Pelodiscus sinensis: one gene and its partner. The protein of the gene in region 1 interacts with the protein of each later gene in a pairwise test. Links are inferred from orthologs where the notes say so. Each region holds a gene or a part of one and is shown in the gene's direction. Other genes may lie near its edges.

Region 1 (10,870 bases):
CTGGTGTTGAAGGTGTGGTTGACATCACGGGCCACGGGCACCGGGCGGGGCCCCACCACGAAGAAGCTGAGGAAGATGGCCAGCAGCACCAGGTTCACCACCAGGAAGATGAGGAAGGCAGCACGGGCATAGATGCGGGCACCCACCAGGCAGACCAGCAAACAGAGCAGTAGCACGAGTGAGCCATACAGGAAGCTGTAGAAATAGCCCTGGGGCAGGGCATGGGCGCCGGGGGGATCTGTCCCATCTGGAGGGGATGGGAAGGACAGGAATGACCATTAGGGCAGAGGAGAACCCGGAGTCCTAACTCCCAGCCCCCCCGCTCTAATCCACCAGCCCTCTGGGGAGGCACCCCGGCGTCTGGGCTCACCTGCCCCAAAGACGTCCAGCACAGCCTCCACCAGCCCCAGCACGTAAACCCCACAGGCGCAGACGTTGGCCAAGTAGAACATGAGCCCGATGCTGCCCCCAAACTCGGGGCCCAGCGTCCGCGAGATCATGACTGGGGGGGCAGTTGTCAAGGAAACGCCATGGGGGGGGAGGAAGAGAGAATTGCTGCCACTACCACTGCCCACAGACAGAGCTATAGTCAGTCTCTTCTCCCCCATTGAGACAATCCCTACCTGGCTCCACAGCCAATGTCCTGCCCCCCATCTCTCCTCCTCCACATCCTAATGTCTGCCCCCAAAGACTCCGAACATAAACAGATCTCCCCAAACCCTCATACATTCCCCTCAGATCTAGCCCCCTTGAGTTTTACTCCCCATCCCCCCAGAGACGGCCTTCTATACATCCCCGCATCCCAGTGTTCACCCCAAAGACCCCCTCTGTAATCACATTGCCCTCATCCAACCAACACAGCCTACATACCCCTAGCCCCCAATTTTCTAGAGGGCCCCTCGGCTACTTCTAGCTGACCCCCTCTCCCTTGCAGAGGCCTGGTCCCCCACCTGGAATCACCCCATCCCACACTGAGGCACACAGCCCCCCCCCCTTACCCATAGGAGGGTGTTGAGAGGAGCCAACGAACTGGCTGTAATTCTGGCCACCCCGCACACCATGTACCAGCCCGCTGGCGGAAGGATACAATATGCCCCACCCCCTTGGATGGCACCATTAGTGCAGATGGCACAGACAGACAGGACGGTCAGTAAAATGATGACATAGGCTACCACCAGCATAAGCAGCGACTGCAGGAACCCAGCATGTCCCACCACGAAACCTAAGAGATGACAGATAGGGAGCTGCAGGTAAGAAGGGAGGGGCATTGGCAGAACTGGACGGAGGGCAAGCCCAGAATTCTGCCCTCTATATAGCTTCCAGGATTGGGCCCATCCACATGGCCTTAGGGCCCACATCCCGGTTAAGCACGAACCTCTCCTGTTTAATGGTGCTCACCTTTAGTAAGCCACTAATTACAATAAGGAATTGGCTTTCAGTGCCCATAAGGTACAAGTATGCAGGCACCAGTGATCTAGGGAATTCCATGCCTTATGATGTCGATGGAATGTATGCACAACCAACCCGGATGAATCAGTTGCTAATTGTGACAAGAAGCTGAACAGCCAGCTGGGTTGGAGGCAGCAAGGGGTAAGTATGGGCCAAGCCCCCATTAGCCCACCACATGATTTTGGCCGGAAATCAAGCATGCATCAGTGGGGATGGGGACGGAGGTTTCCTGCTATTCTTAAGGGCAGCACACAATGTGGGCAGGGGATGGAGGGAGAGAATCCTATGGGAGGCAGAGAAGTTTCCTTTGGGGGGGGGGGGGAGTTGAGGAGGGAGAAGAGGGCTTTTGCCAATAACCATGCACTAATCAGCAGGGTAGAGTCACTCACCCACACGCATGAAGACAACGATGCTGAACATGGACAACACTGTGGGCACCACGACGCCAAAGAAAGTGGAGAGCCGTCGGGCCGGGTCAGGCTGTGGGGGGCCCAGGGGGCCTATGCCCCCACCCACGAGGGGTGCCTCCTCTTGGGCCCGGCTGCTTGGCATCTCCCCCTCGTCCACCACGCTGAAGAGCCGGTAGCTCAACAGAGGGGAGCTCTCAGTGGACATGGCAGGGGGGCCTGGTCACCCTGGGAGAGGGGAAGGAGGCATTATTGGCAAAACCCCTCTTCTCCCTAGTTCTCCTCCCCAGCTCCCATGCCCCTCCTCAGGCACCCCTGCAATCCCTCACCCCAAAATCTAGCTAGATCATCTCCCCTTTGGCCTGAAATTCTACAAACACCAGTTACATGGTCTAGTCTGCCATACTGCACAGGGCTGGGAATGCCAGCCTTAAAATTGCAGAGATTAAAAGGAAAAGACTTCAGTCCTGCTGCAATGCACAAGCATGCTCTGAATCCCACTGTAGATCTGCCTTTGAAATAAGGAGAGAAAATTGGGTTTGTACCATACAAACCTCCCCAGGTGCTTTATTTAACAGGTAGAAAAATTTATCTGTGTTTTGATGCACAAAGCAGATGGCTGGGAAACTTCAAAAGACAGCTAAGAAAGTGGGTTTGAACTCTTAAAAAATACCAGGCTAGATTCTTATGATTAAATGGAGACAGGAAATGCACACTCTTGTTTAAAAGCTCTCTCTGAAGCAACTTAAAAACTGGGGTATGAACCTTTAAAGTCAGCCCGGTTTGGGAGCAATCAACGAGGAGAAAAATTAATCCAAGTCAGATGCAGGAAAGAGCAAACCAAATTCAGGAGACACCCAATGGGCGTGGATCCTCCAAATTCAGCCCCCCACCCCCAGAGATGGGGAGGACACCCCTGTTCCTGGTTTCTCTTCTAGGGTAAATGGGTGGGGGTGGGGGCAAACTTCTGGAGGGCGGAAGCTCACCGGCTGTAGGCTGTGCGTCAGGCTGCCCCCGAGGACTCAGGGAGGAGACAAGGAAGAAGGAGCTTATGCTGGGAGAGGATCATTTAAGCCGGCGCGTTCCTAGGAGGGCGGGCCTTAGCCCCCAGGTGGAAGGTAGCTGAATGGAGGAGATTAAATGGATTTCCTGGCCACCAGACCCACCCCCTTCACAGCGCTGGGGAGAGAGGAACCCAGGAGTCCTGGCTCCCAGCCCCCGCTCCAACTCACCAGCCCCCACTCCTCTCCATAGGCCAGAAAGAGAAACAGGAGTCCTGAACCGCCAGCTCCCACTCTTCTCCCAGAGCTGGGAAGAGAACCCAGGCGTCCTGGCTCCCAGCCCGGAGATGCACAAACCTTTAGTTGGGGATGCTCTGGGGTGGGGTCGATGGGGAGGGGGGGGAGGTGGCCGGGTCCCTCCCCTAGCTCCATGCAGTGCTCTCCTGAACCGGCGGCTGGGTCACAGGCTGCTCATGTGACGAGCCCCCCCCCTTCCACTCCCGCCCCCGGGTGTGACTTAATGGGCGTCTGTGAGCTCAGATCCTGCCCCCCCTCCACAGTGTCCTCCTCCAGCTCTTCCTCCTCCCTTCCATCCCTGCATTCGTCCTCATATACATCCATCCTTCTCCTCCTCTCTCCTTCCTTCTTCCCATCTCTGCCTCTCTCTCTCTCACACACACACAGAGCTCTTTCTTCTCCTGTCCTGCTTCCTTCCTCCCATCCCCACATCCAGCCTGTGCCCCCCCATGCACACTCTCTGCTATCACCCCTGTACACACACATTTTCTCTGTACACACACACACACACACGCTTTTCCAGTTTACTGGTACAGAGCATTGGGTACATAACAAACATACGGTACACACCACTGTGTAAACACACACACAGACACTTTCCTGGTACACATGCACAGTGCTGTGTAAATAAACATACACACTTTCTTGGTACACAAACACACACTTGTGTGTTACACACATTACTGTGTACATGCATACATGCTCAGTACCCACACACAGTACTGTGTACATACACGCTTTCTTGCTACACACAGAGTACTATATATACACACACTTGCCCGGTACACATGCACTGTGCTGTGCACACATACACACAATACACACAGACACAGGGGCTGGTTTCTGACCCAGCCTGTGGTCCTGTGGGGAGGGATATTTGTGGCACCCAGGAGGCCATACAGTGACCCTGATAGTGGGACCCTGACCCGACCTCAGCACCTCAGATCAATTTGACTGACTGTGGCTGATGGGTCGAGGCAACGATACCCAGTCACCCCTCCCCAGGCCTGCTGGTGCACCTCAGTCCTGCCCCACTGTACCCCACCAACATTCCTGCTCCTGTGTATGTAGCCATGTCATTTACCATCCTTCTGCCCTGGAAAGCTCAGCCCCATGTGGCAGGTTGTGGTGTTGAGCTGAGCAGTATCTGAACATGGTGCTGGGAAAGATCCAGGCTCCAGACCTCACAATCCCAAATCTCTCCTGAGCCAGCCTAGCCCCAAGCTGCTTAGTGCCAGAGGCTGGGACCCTGTGGGGCCTCCTGTGCTGGCCACTGTTGTAAGGCAGGATGCTGGGCTAGAGAACCTTATTGGAAATCCTGGGAAGCGGGCAAGCCTAAAGGGACCCTTGTGGTCATAGGGCTGGATAGAGAGAGCAGTGGTGAGGGGAACAGATGGATGGATAGAGGGAAGTATATGGGGTTAGATGGGTAGACATGGGGATAGGTAGATTTCTCAGTATTCAAATATCTTCCGAAAATCAAAATTTTCCCACTGAGACCAAATCCTCTTTGCTTGTTTTTGCCTGCCTTTTCTGGCCTGACTGTACTTGTGAGCCTGCAGGGGGCACTCCTGTCATGTTTCCAAGCTATTCTCTCACTCCTAGATCCCCAGGCCAGCAGGGATCAATAGCACCACCTACTGCAGAGCTCTATCCTAGTGTCTCCTCACGATGCCTGGACACCCACCAGGGTGGATCCCCAGTGTGCTCCGTGCTGTACAGTGCAGGCTGGAGACGTTCCCCTCAGTACTTTCTACAGCTGGTCGTTCAGAAAAACAGTCCTTGATTTCAAAATGGTCAGTGAATGAGAATCCGGATAGTGCAGTTATGGTCACTCACCATGAGACCGTTTTCGGTTCCCTGTAATTTTGCCCAAATGTAATTATTTGGGGTGACATTTTTCAGACCTTCAGCTGAATTTTATGAAGCACATTTCACCTAACAAGGATCAGTCAGAATCATAGAGTCCGTCGTCCCACACCCACCAAGTAAGTGCTGCTAAGGCGTCCTCATTGGAACCATAGAGACTGGTCTCTCACACCTCCCACATGCAGCCAGAACGCCCCAATGGAACCATAGAATCCACCCCCTCGCACCTGATGCACTCAGCATATGGAATCATTCAGGCCTTGGATGACCGGGGCGGGGCGCTCAGGGATTGTGGGACATGGGGGTGGTACTGGGAGATTGTGGGATACCAGGGAAGCCCACAGAGCCCTAGAGGACTGCGGGATGAGGGTCTAAGGAGACTGGGAAGTTGGGGGGCTCGGAGGCCCCTGGGGATTATGGAATACGGAGGGGCTAGAGGCCCAGGGAACTGTGGGATATTTTCCCCTTTCCCACCATGTTCCTAGGCCGTAGAATGCCGGGGGCAGGGCCTGGGGCCCCAGCTGCCCCATTTGATTGATCTCGCAGTGCAGCCAATTCGGAGCGCGGAAGCCGCGCGGTTGGGGGCGGGTCCCGGCCCGTGATTGGGTACGGGCCAAACGCTGGGCGTTTCTTGGTTTGGGAGCGGGGCGGGGCCAGGGTTGGTTGCCGGTGTAGGTGGGAAAGAAGCGGGGGCATGCTGATTGGTCAGCGGGAGCAGGGAGGCCCACCGATTGGGTGTCCTGGCAGAGGGGCGGGGCGGGCGCGCGTCCTTGGCGAACCCGACGTCTTCTCGTTGGGAGGTGGGGCTTGAGCACGCGCCTAGCTTAGCCACGCTGGTCGCGATTGGTTGGTAGTAGAGTTGCGTTCTTCCATTGGCCAGCGGACCTGGGCTGGCGCTCGGCGATTGGTGGAGCGGCGCGCGCGCGTGCCCCGCCCCTCCCGGCCGCGCCTGCGCGGTGTACGCGCGCGAAGGGGGAGGGGCCGCGCGCGCGGTGTGAGGCGGTAGCGGCGGCGGCGGGTCGGTCCCTGCCTCACGGTGGCGGAGCCGGAGCGGGAGCGGGAGCGGGCCGCGGCGCCTCCCATCCCCCCCCGGGCCAGACCCTGCGGCGCTGCCTCCTCCCCCCCCCGCGGCGCCGGGCGGCTCCCGGGGCCTGGGCCCCTCCCCGGCGGGGCGGCGGTGGCCGGGCCCATGGAGGGGCTGCCCGTGGAGCTTCGCGGCTCCAACGGCGCCTTCTACAAGGTCAGCGCGCGGGGTTGAGTGGAGGGTTGAGTGTCTGGCGGGAGTACGAGACTGGTGGGCAGGCCTCGGTGTGGGGAGGGGGTTGCACAAGGATGGGGGCCGTTGGGGGAGATGCTACTGGCAAATGAGGGAGAGGAGGTATATGAATGGGTGGGGGAGACTGTAAAGGGTTTTGGGGAGGGTGTCTGGTGAGGGTGTAAGATTGGAGAGGGTGGGGAAGGCCCCGGGTGGGAAGAGGTCATACAGGTGGGGGGGTCTTTGGGGGGAGTGTTTTGTGGGAGGGGGGAGGGTGGCAGGGCGAGGCAGGCCCCAGGGAGAGGAAGGTCAGAAAGGCGTGTGGAGGGCCGTTAGAGGGAGGGGATAGTGGAGAGTGGGGGAAAGAGGGAAGGCAGGTCATAGAGGAGCTGGTGGTTGGAATGGGAGGCGGGGGAGGGTGTCTAGTGAGGGGGGCAGGGGTATTCCTGTGTGGCGGGAGGGGAGATCACAGAGGATTGGGTGGCAGTGGAGTGTGTAGGGAGGATGTATGATGGGGTGAATGGCGAGGAGGTAGTGGGGTGTTTGGGAGTGGATGTGTGATGGGGTGAAGGAAGGTGGGGAGGTAAGACAAGGCATGGGTAAGTGAATGAATTGTTGAGGGCCGGTTAGGGAAGTTAATTTTGGGTATGATGAGGAGATGGTGGGAAAGTAACTGGGGGAACAGTGGCGTGCAAGCCACGTGGTGGGAGAGGCTTAGGGGTTTTTAGATGGAACAGGGAATTGGGAAGGTTTAGAGAAAGGGGTGGACTACTGGGGTCCTGGGGTGGGGCTGGAGGTAAGATGTGGGGTGACTGGAGGATAACTGTTGGGTGAGGGGCATTATGGGAGAAGAGGCTGGGTTTGCGATCACCTGAAAGAGTAACTGACAGCAGGGAGAATGGAAACTACAGCTGTCAATATGGAGACCATAGTGAGAAGCAGGTAAGTGGATGGGGCTTAAGAGTAAGATTTGAGGGGGGAATAAAATTGGAAGGATCTGGGCAAAAGTGGGAAGTCTAGGGGTGTAAGTAACTGAGGGGGTCAGGTGGCTGCGGGCTCTGAAGCAAAGGGCCTTGAGGTGTTAATAGCAGCTTGGAGAGAGAGGGGGAAGGACTATGTGGGTAAACATGTGGATGGTGTGTGTCTGTGTTGTGGGGAGGAGTGGGAGGGAATAGGGAAGGTGTTGGAGCATGACTGAAGGACTTAGGACCCTGCATGGCTCAGTAAGGACCTATGGGATGGGCACACAGAACTCTCCCCTTCCTTAGCATTGAGGTTTTCCTCTCATAGGGATCCCATGCAGTTTTTGTTACTGAGTCACTGGGGATTGGAGGTCCTCCTAATGGTGGAGAGTCACTGAGCTAAATGGGCATCCTTAAGGGCCCTGATTCAGGTGGGCGTCAAAACATGGAGAGAATGCAGCATGGCTGTGGGAACCCCAGTTTAGCCTGTGGTGCACTGTGCCTTCCTCCCCCTTGTCTCTAAGTTCTACATAAACCCGTTTGTCCCCACACACACACTCCAATTTTTTCCTCCTTTTTCTCTGGACCTCTTAGAAGTTTTGCTTCTTCATTGTAGTTTTTGCATCGGACTCTCCTTTTCCATATCCACTTTCCCATGTTGCCTCTCTTCTAGAACTACAAGCACAATTATTTCACAGATCCCTTCATTTTCCCACAGGAACTCCTCCTCAGTGCTCCTTCTCACATTGTCTCTCAAGCCCAGCCCTGCCTCCTAAATCCAGCTATTGCAGGGCTCAGAGCTCCCTTCCTTAACAAAAATCTGGGAGGGTTCAAATCGTGCCACTGGCCAGTCAGGTTACAGTGATCCTAACCTTTATTGTGTCCAAGGAAAAGAAAGGCTGCAGTACTCTCCGAATCAGCCAGATGTTTGTTTCAGCTCTTCTCTGCCAGAACTCCACAGGCAGCTGGATGTGCCTTGTATGGGACTGAAGTCACTTGAATAGCAGAACCCATCCCTCCAATTTCTAATGCCTAATCAAGTTGATGCTGTGACAAGTGCTACATATTAGTATCTGATGCAAGATCCCTTAATGTGATCAGATTGCATCCCACTCTATTCTTTGTGAATGGGCCAAGGATTTGAGTTCTCTTGTTTCATGGGGAGAGGAATAGCGTGATTTGTAGCCCCTTCTACAAATCTGAGGTCATATTCTTCTTAGACTGACTTGAAATCAGTGGAAATTTCTGTATGTTCACTTATGCTATGGTGGGGCCAGTTGTTCAGCATTCATAATGTACACTATGTGTGCACCATCCCTGTCTAAACAGAGCAGGGGAGGCAGAACAACCTCGGAAGTGAAAGGATTTGCTCAACTCACACACCAAGCTGGTCAGGGCTTCTGGGAATAGTCTCTGAGTTCCCTCTGTTGTCCTTTCTGCTAGATCTTGCTTTCTCTCAAGTGTAGTTTTTAGGCCAGAGCAGGATGGGCAGTCAATATTTCCTAGCTTCTTTCTGAGCCCTAGAGCCATTGTGGTGGTTTCATGTGATTGCCTCCATAATCCCTGATGGCTGAAAATACCTGTGAGGGTGCTGCCTTAAGGAAGCAGATTTTGTTCTTGAATGGCTTTCTCTTACTGCCACAGAACAAGGTTGGATAAAAGTTTGGCAAGCTGCGTTATTTTCATCTTTGAAGACTGACCCTATCAAAACTCATAAAGCTTGGTTATTCTCCAAAAATGTCTTTGTGACCTGCTAAACCAAAGGCAAAACTTAGATGCCCCTCTTCGCCTGGGAACTCAAATTTGAGCATGTTCTCTGCAGACTCATCTTTCAGAATGTGGTGTAAATTTATGACCCTGTGCAAGGAATCAAAACTGCTGCAGCTGGAACCTATATGAATATTCCTGTGTCTGTATTGGACACTGGTGCCTGATGGGTTAATAGCACTAGGAACTAAAGTCCAGTTCCTTAAAAGGGTCTGTGGAATTTGACAGGCTAAATATCTTTGAGAACCTTGATTCTCAGAGGCAGAGCCCGGGGGTTCATGTGAAAAATGCTATTGTTATGCAGTCACCTTTCTGATTTGAGGTATTAAAATGAAATGCCAGTGGTTAGATTTGTATTGAAATCTGCTGTTCCCACAAAGAACATAGTATCTCAGCTCCGTACTCTCCGATCCTATTATGCTAGCTTGGGGCTGTCCAAATCTAGTAAGATTCTCTGTTCATAACTGAAACCAAGAAGCAAGGAATGATTGTGATTCCCATCTTGCAGGTGGGGAAACCCAGACTCAGATTTGGTGACTTGACAGTGGTCATGCAGTGGGTCTCATCCCTGATTTCCCAAATCTTTTCTTTTGCAGCTGCACTTGGATTCAGAACCTCTTTGCAAACATACGCTGATTGCAGAACAAAGAATGAGGATTGATATCTGTGTTATTTACGTTTATTACCCCCACTTATATCATTCTGAATTCATGCTGCCTTCCAACAGGCTAAGAATCCAGCTAGTATTTGTGGACAATCTTGTTTCCTGCAAGCTCCTCTTGGTGGTGTATGTTTAAATATGCTGATGTTTCGTTAGAGTGCTTAAGGTTGGTGAGTCAGTTGTCTCAATTAGCCAGGCAGGCCTAGCCTTACAATTTTGCACTTATGGCACCTCGTGGCAGAGCAGCAACAGGAGAATCTTTCATGCTGTCTGAAAATCTGGTCTCATTGAAGTGCTTTATAATTTAGCTTTGAAGATGGTCTTGTGGAAGAAGCTGGGATTCTGGACAATGTATGCCTAGAACAGCTGATCTCTGCTGAGGCTACTGGAGTATCAAAACCAGAGCGAGCATAATCAAAGAGGTGGGCTGTGGATAGTGCAGAGGCCTTGCTGGCTACAGATGAAGATGGTAGTTCAGCTACAGTCAGTTAGCACTTAGGCCTTATCTAGCAAAAATGGAACCTGGACTTGGTAAAAGCTGTAAGATAGGGAGGATTCATGCACCTTTATCGACAAATTTCTGGGCTGACTGATCATTCAGTGGCCTTTGATTTAAAAAAAAAAAAAATTCTAACCTGTCTGTTGCCTGTTGCCTCTTCCTTTGAAGTCTGTCAGCTAGGAGAGCTTAATATAAGAATGTCCATACTTGTTCAGACCAAAGTTCCAGTATCCTGTCTTCTGACCGTGGTCAGTGCTAGGTGCCCCAGAAGGAATGAACTAGGGATGTAAAATCTCGTTTACTTGGTTTCATGGTTAAACATAATATTTAAAGGTTAAACATAATGTTAGGCCAACTAGCTGATCAAGGAGGGGTGGGGGGGCTGTTCTGCAGGCAGGGGCTGCTCTAGCCTGACTGGAGCAGCCCCTGTCCCCAGCAGGTCCTGTGGGGCTGCAGCAGCCCCTTGACCACTTTGGGTGGGAAGTAGCTTCAGCCCCTAACGGTTAACTAGTTAAGCGTTCAGATTCCTAGAATGAACAGAACAAGTTATCAAGTGATCCACCCCCTGTCCACTTTCAAAGAACGACTGACCTCTTGATCTTAAGTGATTATTTCCAGATCCTTAACAACAATCACAATCCTTAACAACCAGTCCCATTTCATCTACATTTGCAGTTTGTCCTTACCAGAAGCTTCATAGTCC
Region 2 (10,512 bases), on another chromosome or scaffold:
TAAGGGCCGAGGGGGGGCCTGTCGCTCTCTGGTCAGCGCTAAGGGCCGAGGGGGGGCCTGTCGCTCTCTGGTCAGCGCTAAGGGCCGAGGGGGGGCCTGTCGCTCTCTGGTCAGTGCTAAGGCCGAGGGGGGGCCTGTCGCTCTCTGGTCAGCGCTAAGGGCCGAGGGGGGGCCTGTCGCTCTCTGGTCAGCGCTAAGGCCGAGGGGGGGCCTGTCGCTCTCTGGTCAGCGCTAAGGGCCGAGGGGGGGCCTGTCGCTCTCTGGTCAGCGCTAAGGGCCGAGGGGGGGCCTGTCGCTCTCTGGTCAGCGCTAAGGGCCGAGGGGGGGCCTGTCGCGCTCTGGTCAGCGCTAAGGCCGAGGGGGGGCCTGTCGCTCTCTGGTCAGCGCTAAGGCCGAGGGGGGGCCTGTCGCTCTCTGGTCAGTGCTAAGGCCGAGGGGGGGCCTGTCGCTCTCTGGTCAGTGCTAAGGCCGAGGGGGGGCCTGTCGCTCTCTGGTCAGCGCTAAGGGCCGAGGGGGGGCCTGTCGCTCTCTGGTCAGCGCTAAGGGCCGAGGGGGGGTCCTGTCGCTCTCTGGTCAGCACTAAGGCCGAGGGGGGGCCTGTCGCTCTCTGGTCAGCGCTAAGGGCCGAGGGGGGGGCCTGTCGCTCTCTGGTCAGCGCTAAGGGCCGAGGGGGGGCCTGTCGCTCTCTGGTCAGTGCTAAGGCCGAGGGGGGGCCTGTCGCTCTCTGGTCAGCGCTAAGGGCCGAGGGGGGGCCTGTCGCTCTCTGGTCAGCGCTAAGGGCCGAGGGGGGGGCCTGTCGCTCTCTGGTCAGCGCTAAGGGCCGAGGGGGGGCCTGTCGCTCTCTGGTCAGTGCTAAGGCCGAGGGGGGGCCTGTCGCTCTCTGGTCAGCGCTAAGGGCCGAGGGGGGGCCTGTCGCTCTCTGGTCAGTGCTAAGGCCGAGGGGGGGCCTGTCGCTCTCTGGTCAGCGCTAAGGCCGAGGGGGGGCCTGTCGCTCTCTGGTCAGTGCTAAGGCCGAGGGGGGGCCTGTCGCTCTCTGGTCAGCGCTAAGGCCGAGGGGGGGCCTGTCGCTCTCTGGTCAGCGCTAAGGGCCGAGGGGGGGCCTGTCGCTCTCTGGTCAGTGCTAAGGGCCGAGGGGGGGCCTGTCGCTCTCTGGTCAGCGCTAAGGGCCGAGGGGGGGCCTGTCGCTCTCTGGTCAGCGCTAAGGCCGAGGGGGGGCCTGTCGCTCTCTGGTCAGCGCTAAGGGCCGAGGGGGGGCCTGTCGCTCTCTGGTCAGCGCTAAGGGCCGAGGGGGGGCCTGTCGCTCTCTGGTCAGCGCTAAGGGCCGAGGGGGGGCCTGTCGCTCTCTGGTCAGCGCTAAGGGCCGAGGGGGGGCCTGTCGCTCTCTGGTCAGCGCTAAGGGCCGAGGGGGGGCCTGTCGCTCTCTGGTCAGCGCTAAGGCCGAGGGGGGGCCTGTCGCTCTCTGGTCAGCGCTAAGGCCGAGGGGCCTGTCGCTCTCTGGTCAGCGCTAAGGGCCGAGGGGGGGCCTGTCGCTCTCTGGTCAGCGCTAAGGCCGAGGGGGGGCCTGTCGCTCTCTGGTCAGCGCTAAGGCCGAGGGGGGGCCTGTCGCTCTCTGGTCAGCGCTAAGGGCCGAGGGGGGGCCTGTCGCTCTCTGGTCAGCGCTAAGGGCCGAGGGGGGGCCTGTCGCTCTCTGGTCAGCGCTAAGGCCGAGGGGGGGCCTGTCGCTCTCTGGTCAGCGCTAAGGCCGAGGGGGGGCCTGTCGCTCTCTGGTCAGCGCTAAGGCCGAGGGGGGGCCTGTCGCTCTCTGGTCAGCGCTAAGGGCCGAGGGGGGGCCTGTCGCTCTCTGGTCAGCGCTAAGGGCCGAGGGGGGGCCTGTCGCTCTCTGGTCAGCGCTAAGGCCGAGGGGGGGCCTGTCGCTCTCTGGTCAGCGCTAAGGGCCGAGGGGGGGCCTGTCGCTCTCTGGTCAGCGCTAAGGCCGAGGGGGGGCCTGTCGCTCTCTGGTCAGCGCTAAGGGCCGAGGGGGGGCCTGTCGCTCTCTGGTCAGCGCTAAGGCCGAGGGGGGGCCTGTCGCTCTCTGGTCAGCGCTAAGGCCGAGGGGCCTGTCGCTCTCTGGTCAGCGCTAAGGGCCGAGGGGGGGCCTGTCGCTCTCTGGTCAGTGCTAAGGGCCGAGGGGGGGCCTGTCGCTCTCTGGTCAGCGCTAAGGGCCGAGGGGGGGCCTGTCGCTCTCTGGTCAGTGCTAAGGGCCGAGGGGGGGCCTGTCGCTCTCTGGTCAGCGCTAAGGCCGAGGGGGGGCCTGTCGCTCTCTGGTCAGCGCTAAGGGCCGAGGGGGGGCCTGTCGCTCTCTGGTCAGTGCTAAGGCCGAGGGGGGGCCTGTCGCTCTCTGGTCAGCGCTAAGGGCCGAGGGGGGGCCTGTCGCTCTCTGGTCAGCGCTAAGGGCCGAGGGGGGGCCTGTCGCTCTCTGGTCAGTGCTAAGGCCGAGGGGGGGCCTGTCGCTCTCTGGTCAGCGCTAAGGGCGAGGGGGGGCCTGTCGCTCTCTGGTCAGCGCTAAGGGCCGAGGGGGGGCCTGTCGCTCTCTGGTCAGCGCTAAGGGCCGAGGGGGGGCCTGTCGCTCTCTGGTCAGCGCTAAGGCCGAGGGGGGGCCTGTCGCTCTCTGGTCAGCGCTAAGGGCCGAGGGGGGGCCTGTCGCTCTCTGGTCAGCGCTAAGGCCGAGGGGGGGCCTGTCGCTCTCTGGTCAGCGCTAAGGCCGAGGGGCCTGTCGCTCTCTGGTCAGCGCTAAGGGCCGAGGGGGGGCCTGTCGCTCTCTGGTCAGCGCTAAGGCCGAGGGGGGGCCTGTCGCTCTCTGGTCAGCGCTAAGGCCGAGGGGGGGCCTGTCGCTCTCTGGTCAGCGCTAAGGGCCGAGGGGGGGCCTGTCGCTCTCTGGTCAGCGCTAAGGGCCGAGGGGGGGCCTGTCGCTCTCTGGTCAGCGCTAAGGGCCGAGGGGGGGCCTGTCGCTCTCTGGTCAGCGCTAAGGCCGAGGGGGGGCCTGTCGCTCTCTGGTCAGCGCTAAGGGCCGAGGGGGGGCCTGTCGCTCTCTGGTCAGCGCTAAGGCCGAGGGGGGCCTGTCGCTCTCTGGTCAGCGCTAAGGCCGAGGGGGGGCCTGTCGCTCTCTGGTCAGCGCTAAGGGCCGAGGGGGGGCCTGTCGCTCTCTGGTCAGCGCTAAGGGCCGAGGGGGGGCCTGTCGCTCTCTGGTCAGCGCTAAGGGCCGAGGGGGGGCCTGTCGCTCTCTGGTCAGTGCTAAGGCCGAGGGGGGGCCTGTCGCGCTCTGGTCAGCGCTAAGGGCCGAGGGGGGGCCTGTCGCTCTCTGGTCAGCGCTAAGGCCGAGGGGGGGCCTGTCGCTCTCTGGTCAGCGCTAAGGGCCGAGGGGGGGCCTGTCGCTCTCTGGTCAGCGCTAAGGCCGAGGGGGGGCCTGTCGCTCTCTGGTCAGCGCTAAGGCCGAGGGGGGGCCTGTCGCTCTCTGGTCAGCGCTAAGGGCCGAGGGGGGGCCTGTCGCTCTCTGGTCAGCGCTAAGGGCCGAGGGGGGGCCTGTCGCTCTCTGGTCAGCGCTAAGGCCGAGGGGGGGCCTGTCGCTCTCTGGTCAGCGCTAAGGCCGAGGGGGGGCCTGTCGCTCTCTGGTCAGCGCTAAGGCCGAGGGGGGGCCTGTCGCTCTCTGGTCAGCGCTAAGGCCGAGGGGGGGGCCTGTCGCTCTCTGGTCAGCACTAAGGCCGAGGGGGGGCCTGTCGCTCTCTGGTCAGCGCTAAGGCCGAGGGGGGGCCTGTCGCTCTCTGGTCAGCGCTAAGGGCCGAGGGGGGGCCTGTCGCTCTCTGGTCAGCGCTAAGGGCCGAGGGGGGGCCTGTCGCTCTCTGGTCAGCGCTAAGGGCCGAGGGGGGGCCTGTCGCTCTCTGGTCAGTTCTAAGGCCGAGGGGGGGCCTGTCGCGCTCTGGTCAGCGCTAAGGCCGAGGGGGGGCCTGTCGCTCTCTGGTCAGCGCTAAGGCCGAGGGGGGGCCTGTCGCTCTCTGGTCAGCGCTAAGGCCGAGGGGGGGCCTGTCGCTCTCTGGTCAGCGCTAAGGGCCGAGGGGGGGCCTGTCGCTCTCTGGTCAGCGCTAAGGGCCGAGGGGGGGCCTGTCGCTCTCTGGTCAGCGCTAAGGGCCGAGGGGGGGCCTGTCGCTCTCTGGTCAGCGCTAAGGGCCGAGGGGGGGCCTGTCGCTCTCTGGTCAGCGCTAAGGGCCGAGGGGGGGCCTGTCGCTCTCTGGTCAGTGCTAAGGCCGAGGGGGGGCCTGTCGCGCTCTGGTCAGCGCTAAGGGCCGAGGGGGGGCCTGTCGCTCTCTGGTCAGCGCTAAGGCCGAGGGGGGGCCTGTCGCTCTCTGGTCAGCGCTAAGGGCCGAGGGGGGGCCTGTCGCTCTCTGGTCAGCGCTAAGGCCGAGGGGGGGCCTGTCGCTCTCTGGTCAGCGCTAAGGCCGAGGGGGGGCCTGTCGCTCTCTGGTCAGCGCTAAGGGCCGAGGGGGGGCCTGTCGCTCTCTGGTCAGCGCTAAGGGCCGAGGGGGGGCCTGTCGCTCTCTGGTCAGCGCTAAGGCCGAGGGGGGGCCTGTCGCTCTCTGGTCAGCGCTAAGGCCGAGGGGGGGCCTGTCGCTCTCTGGTCAGCGCTAAGGCCGAGGGGGGGCCTGTCGCTCTCTGGTCAGCGCTAAGGCCGAGGGGGGGGCCTGTCGCTCTCTGGTCAGCACTAAGGCCGAGGGGGGGCCTGTCGCTCTCTGGTCAGCGCTAAGGCCGAGGGGGGGCCTGTCGCTCTCTGGTCAGCGCTAAGGGCCGAGGGGGGGCCTGTCGCTCTCTGGTCAGCGCTAAGGGCCGAGGGGGGGCCTGTCGCTCTCTGGTCAGCGCTAAGGGCCGAGGGGGGGCCTGTCGCTCTCTGGTCAGTTCTAAGGCCGAGGGGGGGCCTGTCGCGCTCTGGTCAGCGCTAAGGCCGAGGGGGGGCCTGTCGCTCTCTGGTCAGCGCTAAGGCCGAGGGGGGGCCTGTCGCTCTCTGGTCAGCGCTAAGGCCGAGGGGGGGCCTGTCGCTCTCTGGTCAGCGCTAAGGCCGAGGGGGGGCTCTGGTCAGCGCCAAGGGCCTGCAATGCCACAGGCTACTTGGGCTAGGCTGGGCCCACGCCAGGGCTGGCCTTACCGTGAGGCGAGCTGAGACGGCCTCCTCAGGTGCCAGACTCTGCGGTGGCGCCACTAGGACCCAGGGTGTAGAAACTTGTTTCTGCTGCTGGTGCAGCAAGGGAACATGGGGGCGTCATTTGAGCTTCCCGCCTCAAGTGCCAAAATTTTGTGGGCTGGTTCTGCCCACATCGGTCGAGCCACCGCTTAACTGGTAAGGCCCACACAGTGTTATTTCACGGTTAACATGGTACGGACATGGCATAATTCCCCCATGACATTAGCTCATTGCACTGAAACCCGCACAATGACGTCAGAGCTCTACCCACAGCTGTATGCAATACATCACAGCGGCGCACTGTGACGGTGCAATACATCACAGCGGCGCACTGTGACCGTGCAATGACATCACAGCGGCGCGCTGTGACCGTGCAATACATCACAGCGGCACACTGTGACCGTGCAATGACATCACAGCGGTGCGCTGTGACCGTGCAATGACATCACAGAGGCGCGCTGTGACCGTGCAATGACATCACAGTGCTGTGCTGTGACCGTGCAATGACATCACAGAGGCGCACTGTGACCGTGCAATGACATCACAGCAGTGCGCTGTGACCGTGCAATGACATCACAGAGGCGCACTGTGACCGTGCAATGACATCACAGTGCTGTGCTGTGACCGTGCAATGACATCACAGAGGCGCGCTGTGACCGTGCAATGACATCACAGCGGCACCCCAGTGCTCCATGTCCCCGGCACTGCAGGCTAGCTCAATGTGACCCATGCACGCCTCGCCCCGCACCCTGGCTGCGCGCTGCCCGCGCTCCCTTCCCCCACCGCTGAGGCCTAGTCTGCCTTTCCCTAGCGCGTCTCTTGAACGACGCTCCCTTGCTGGGATGGACTGAACCATTCGCCACCCCGAAGGGGAGAAAGGCTGCAGCGGCATCTGCGTGGCCGCTCTCGCTTTCCTTGCAGACCCCGTGTGCTCCTTGGCGGGGGCGGCGCCGGGCAGCGGGATGCGGCAGGGAACTGTAGTGAGCTCCCCCCGGTGCCGAGTGGTAGGAGCCGAGGTTGGAAAGGGTGCGCATGCGCACGAGCGCGCGGCAGAGCGACCAGACGTTGAGAGGACGAGGAGGAAGGCGAGAAAATGGCGTCGACGGGTGAGCGACGGGGCCGGGCCGGGCCGGGCGGCGCTGGGCGGGGGCCGGGCCCGATTCCAGCCCCAGCTCCGGGGGGAGGGCGCCCGGCGGGGGGCTGGGGCGCGGCCCGGCCGGCGCTTCTGGAAGCTTCCCGGGCCGCGTGGGGCGGCGCTGGCCATTGTGTAACGGCCGGCGGCGGGCGGGCCTGCCCGGCCGGGCCGGCAAATGGCGGAGGCGCCGGCGAAGGGCGGGACGGGCGCGTGCTCATGGCGGGCGCTGCGCCGGGGCCCCGCGTGGCTGCGGGCGCGGCGCTTCCTGCCGGGCCGCTGCACCGCCCGCGGGAATCCCGCCCGGCCCTGTCCCGGGAGCGCGCGGCCAGGCCCAGAGCGCGCTGCTGCTCGCGCCCGGCTCCAGCCGGTCCCGGGAGCTGCTGCTGGGAGTAGAATGGGGCCGGGGCCTTCTCACAGGCGCTGAGTCCGTAGCGCTGCCGGGTTTATGCATAAATGTTCTTAGGCACAGAGACAGTAGCGCACGAAAATCTTACAGCGGCCCTCGACAGTGCTTATGTACAGGGCTCTGGCTTAACATGAGAGGAATTGCCCTAGAGGGGCAGAGCAAGGAGTGATTACATCAAAATGTTAACATTCAAAGAGCTAGAAATAGTTGTCTTGAATTTTGGGGTGTATAGAAATATTTACAATCGTATTGAAGCAAAAACAGGATCTAAATAACTGTTTTTAACATAATTGCATGATTAAAGATCTTGTGCAAAGCACACATTGAAAACCGCACATCAGCAACTTTTAATCAGCATGTTATGTGGTGGTCATAGAACAAATAAGATTAAGTATTGGTAGTAAAAGTAATGATTTTGAGTGTGTCTATTGAAATGTGTATCAAAATGGAGGAACTGTAGTTTTTGTTTCTACTTGTTAGTCTTGTAATGCATTCCGTCCATCATTGTGTAATGCAAAATGCCTAGGTTTCTTAAGGAGAAATAGTTTTAGCTGCTGCTGCTGCTTAAGATTTCTGTAGTAGAGTGGGAAGGGAAGATGGATGGGGCAGTCACTCTTCCCATTAGCACTCAGTATTTGAAGTTTATTTTAAAATCTGCTTTGGGCATAGGCAGGCAATAACCTGCAGAAATTCTTTGGTAAATATTTACTGAGCCTTATTGTGGATATGGTTAGGGTGAAAAGGTAAGTAGTTTAATATTGGGTCTACAGATATATCATAGACCCCGTGATGAATACACCTGGCTACATTATGGTTTCTTTGTATAGGATAGATGGCAGAGTAACTTTTTCTGGGACCTTTACAAAGCTTGGTACAGACAAAGATGTTTTTACTATTTGGGAGTATCCATCTACATCAAACAAAGGAATTGTGTTGTGATTAAAGACCTGTTACATTATATGGCTGTTGGTTTGATAGCCTTGGTGTTGATACCAGTATTATACTGCATTTCACTTGCCAACAGCCCTCTTATGAAAAGACTCATCAGAAAAGCCTAAAGTTTTGCTCCAGTATGTCTTTGATTTGAACACCCTAATCCTTTCAGTTTATCTTTAAAAATCAGCACAGTGAAGATGTTTAAAATGGAGATTTTTAGAGCTTTAACATTAGAAAACTGAATAAAAATTCATGCTTCTAAAAAAAATTAAAACTGATTTTTATTAAATCTGATTTATTTAAATGTTTAATAAATATTTAAAATTATATTTGAAATTGACCGTTTGTCAGCCTTAATCTATTTAATATTTCAACAAAATAAAAAATGTTAAGCAGTGCAAGTTTAATCTGAATAAAAATGATATGTAAAATAATTGGATCTGCTAGTTCTAAAATTTTGAAGGATGGGGGCAGTCAATCAGATAAGTTCACTCTCTAGTCAGTTTAAATGCAAAATGTTTTAAATTTTTTTTATTAATCTAGCACAAGTTTAAGTGCTGGGTTTGTGCATTCCTGGTTTAATTTTAATTTAATTCAAATGACACTTGACCAATCCAGCAAAAAATTAGTAATCTGATAAATAGTTGTTAGATAATTGCTTACATATGTATAGATGTAATGTATCCTTGTTAGCAAAAAAAAAAAAAAAAAAAAAGCACAACATTAAGGCATTGTCTACACTAGAAAGTTTAAAGCGGGGCCGTGGCAGTACTTTAAGGTGGCAGTGTGACCACAGCTCTAAGTAAACCACCTCCACCAGGAGGAGCACTGTTCCCTGGTGTGTGTGTCTGTGTCTGTGTGTGTTCTTCACCAGCTGAGCCAGAATAGTGCAGTAAAGTGCCAGCATAGACTTAGCCTTCATGTAAAAGATGTAGTTACTTGCAAATCTACATATTTTAACATTTACCCATTGGGGAATCAAACGGTCTTTAAGAAAAGTGCAAATGCAAAATATGAATACATTTAATTATTTAAATCATATTTAATTGATGCGGCTCTGCCAGAAAACTTGTAGTACTGAGCAGTTAGATTTATTTTTTTAAATTAACCATTTAATGATTTACTTTCCTCCATGTGTACTCAGTTCTTTTATGGCTGCTTTCTGGCAGGTAATTTTTTTTTCCTCTGGAGAAAACCAATGAAGCATTTCTTTGAAGAAAATACAATTGTACACGAGTGTTGCAAAAAATTATAAGTTACAAATAGGTCAAACATCAGGCTTATCAACATTGACAATGTCACTTCAGTTTAAAGTTAAAGCCAAGCTCTTGAAGAGAGGAGCACCTCAAAAGAAAAGAAGGCATTTAAAGGAAAGTTCTTCTAACGCCACCATGAACAGTGGAAAAAAATATTTACTAAAGAAACATGTGTGAGTGAAATTGTCAAAATGATATTTAAAAATGCGCCTATTGTTCTGTTCAGTAAAGGAGCTTGTTTTTCTTCTGGAGCTGCTGCATTAGTGCTATACCATTGCATTGTTGAGTCTCATAAAACAGAAGAGAACTGAACACATAAGTCCCACAGAAATAAGAGCTTTTGAGAAGTTATAAGGAGGGATCCCGGAAATCCATTCGCCATGAGAAAATGTGAAATTTGCATTTTTAAAAAGAATCTTTAGTTTTTACATTTTATGAAAAAAATACAAATATATTTAAGTATAGTGAGCTCAGGGCTACACTTGATAAGCAAAAGTTTGGATAATTCAGAGACCAGGCAAAAAGCGCTAGCCCCAGGCATATGGCTTAGGCTGTCAATGGGATACCTGGATGGCTCTGTGTACATTTTCAGATTATCTGAATTTTTGCTTATCTGATCTGGTCCCAGTCCCAATCAGATCTTATAAACAGGGTTCCACTGTACATTATGGCTTGAGAAACTAACAAAGAGCATCTTATTTTTATCATGGAAAACTAGGATCCCTTTATATTGGGATCTCCTTTGGGATTGCACTTGGATGTGCTGAGACACCACTGAACCTGTTTTCCCTGCCAGGTTGGGCCTCCAGTATCCTGTCTTGAGTCAGATGTGCTAGTATGCTGCAACACACAGAGTCCCGGCCAAGCCCCTCAAAACTGCAGGCCTTAACTGAAGACAGCACAGTGAGATTCCTCTCTCCAGCACTGAGATACCCAGCCCCTCTGGGAGCTTAATCCTAGATAAACCCATCTGCTACGTCTAGATTGGCATGATTTTCCGGAAATGTTGTTTTTAACGGAAAAGTTTTCCATTAAAAGCATTTTCGGAAAAGAGCGTCTAGATTGGCAGGACGCTTTTCCGCAAAAGCACTTTTAGCGGAAAAGCGTCTGTGGCCAATCTAGTCGCACTTTTGTGCAAAAAAAGCCCTGATCGCCATTTTTGCGATCGGGGCTTTTTTGCGGAAAACAAATCTGAGCTGTTTACACTGACCCTTTTGCGCAAAACTTTTGTCGGAACAGGAACAGCATAGTATTTCCGCGAACAGCACTGATTTCTTACAGTAGGAAGTCCGTGCTTTTGTGGAAATTCAAGCAGCCAATGTAGACAGCTGGCAAGTTTTTCCAGAAAAGCAGCCGATTTTCCGGAAAAACTGGCCAGTCTAGACACAGCCATCTTATGCTGCATAGAGGACAGTCCAGGATAAGCTCATGAAATTTGCCCCTTTTCTCAATGTAAAGAGATATACACAGACTCCTTGTCCCTCCAAGTAAGAGTTATTCACACTGGGCTTATTAGTAAACATAACTGATTTATTAAATAAAAAAATGTAGGATTTAAGTGATCATAAGAGAG

The links.
Region 2: the proteins of FXR2 (region 1) and EWSR1 interact in a two-hybrid assay, tested with the Homo sapiens proteins (2 studies listed by BioGRID and IntAct). The link is inferred for Pelodiscus sinensis from reciprocal best matches to the Homo sapiens genes FXR2 and EWSR1.

The regions. Positions count from the first base shown.
Region 1 is NC_134734.1:9,202,856-9,213,725, forward strand, and holds the start of FXR2 (RNA-binding protein FXR2), read left to right. Parts: upstream 1-6,002; 5' UTR 6,003-6,263; intron 6,264-10,870. Other genes in the region: SLC12A9 (solute carrier family 12 member 9), read right to left, coding at 1-247, 371-502, 1,088-1,222, 1,839-2,064. UniProt on the Homo sapiens protein: mRNA-binding protein that acts as a regulator of mRNAs translation and/or stability, and which is required for adult hippocampal neurogenesis. Specifically binds to AU-rich elements (AREs) in the 3'-UTR of target mRNAs.
Region 2 is NC_134725.1:5,536,765-5,547,276, forward strand, and holds the start of EWSR1 (RNA-binding protein EWS), read left to right. Parts: upstream 1-6,198; 5' UTR 6,199-6,299; coding exon 6,300-6,312; intron 6,313-9,087; exon of another isoform or gene 9,088-9,108; coding exon of another isoform or gene 9,109-9,112; intron 9,113-10,512. UniProt on the Homo sapiens protein: Binds to ssRNA containing the consensus sequence 5'-AGGUAA-3'. Might normally function as a transcriptional repressor. EWS-fusion-proteins (EFPS) may play a role in the tumorigenic process.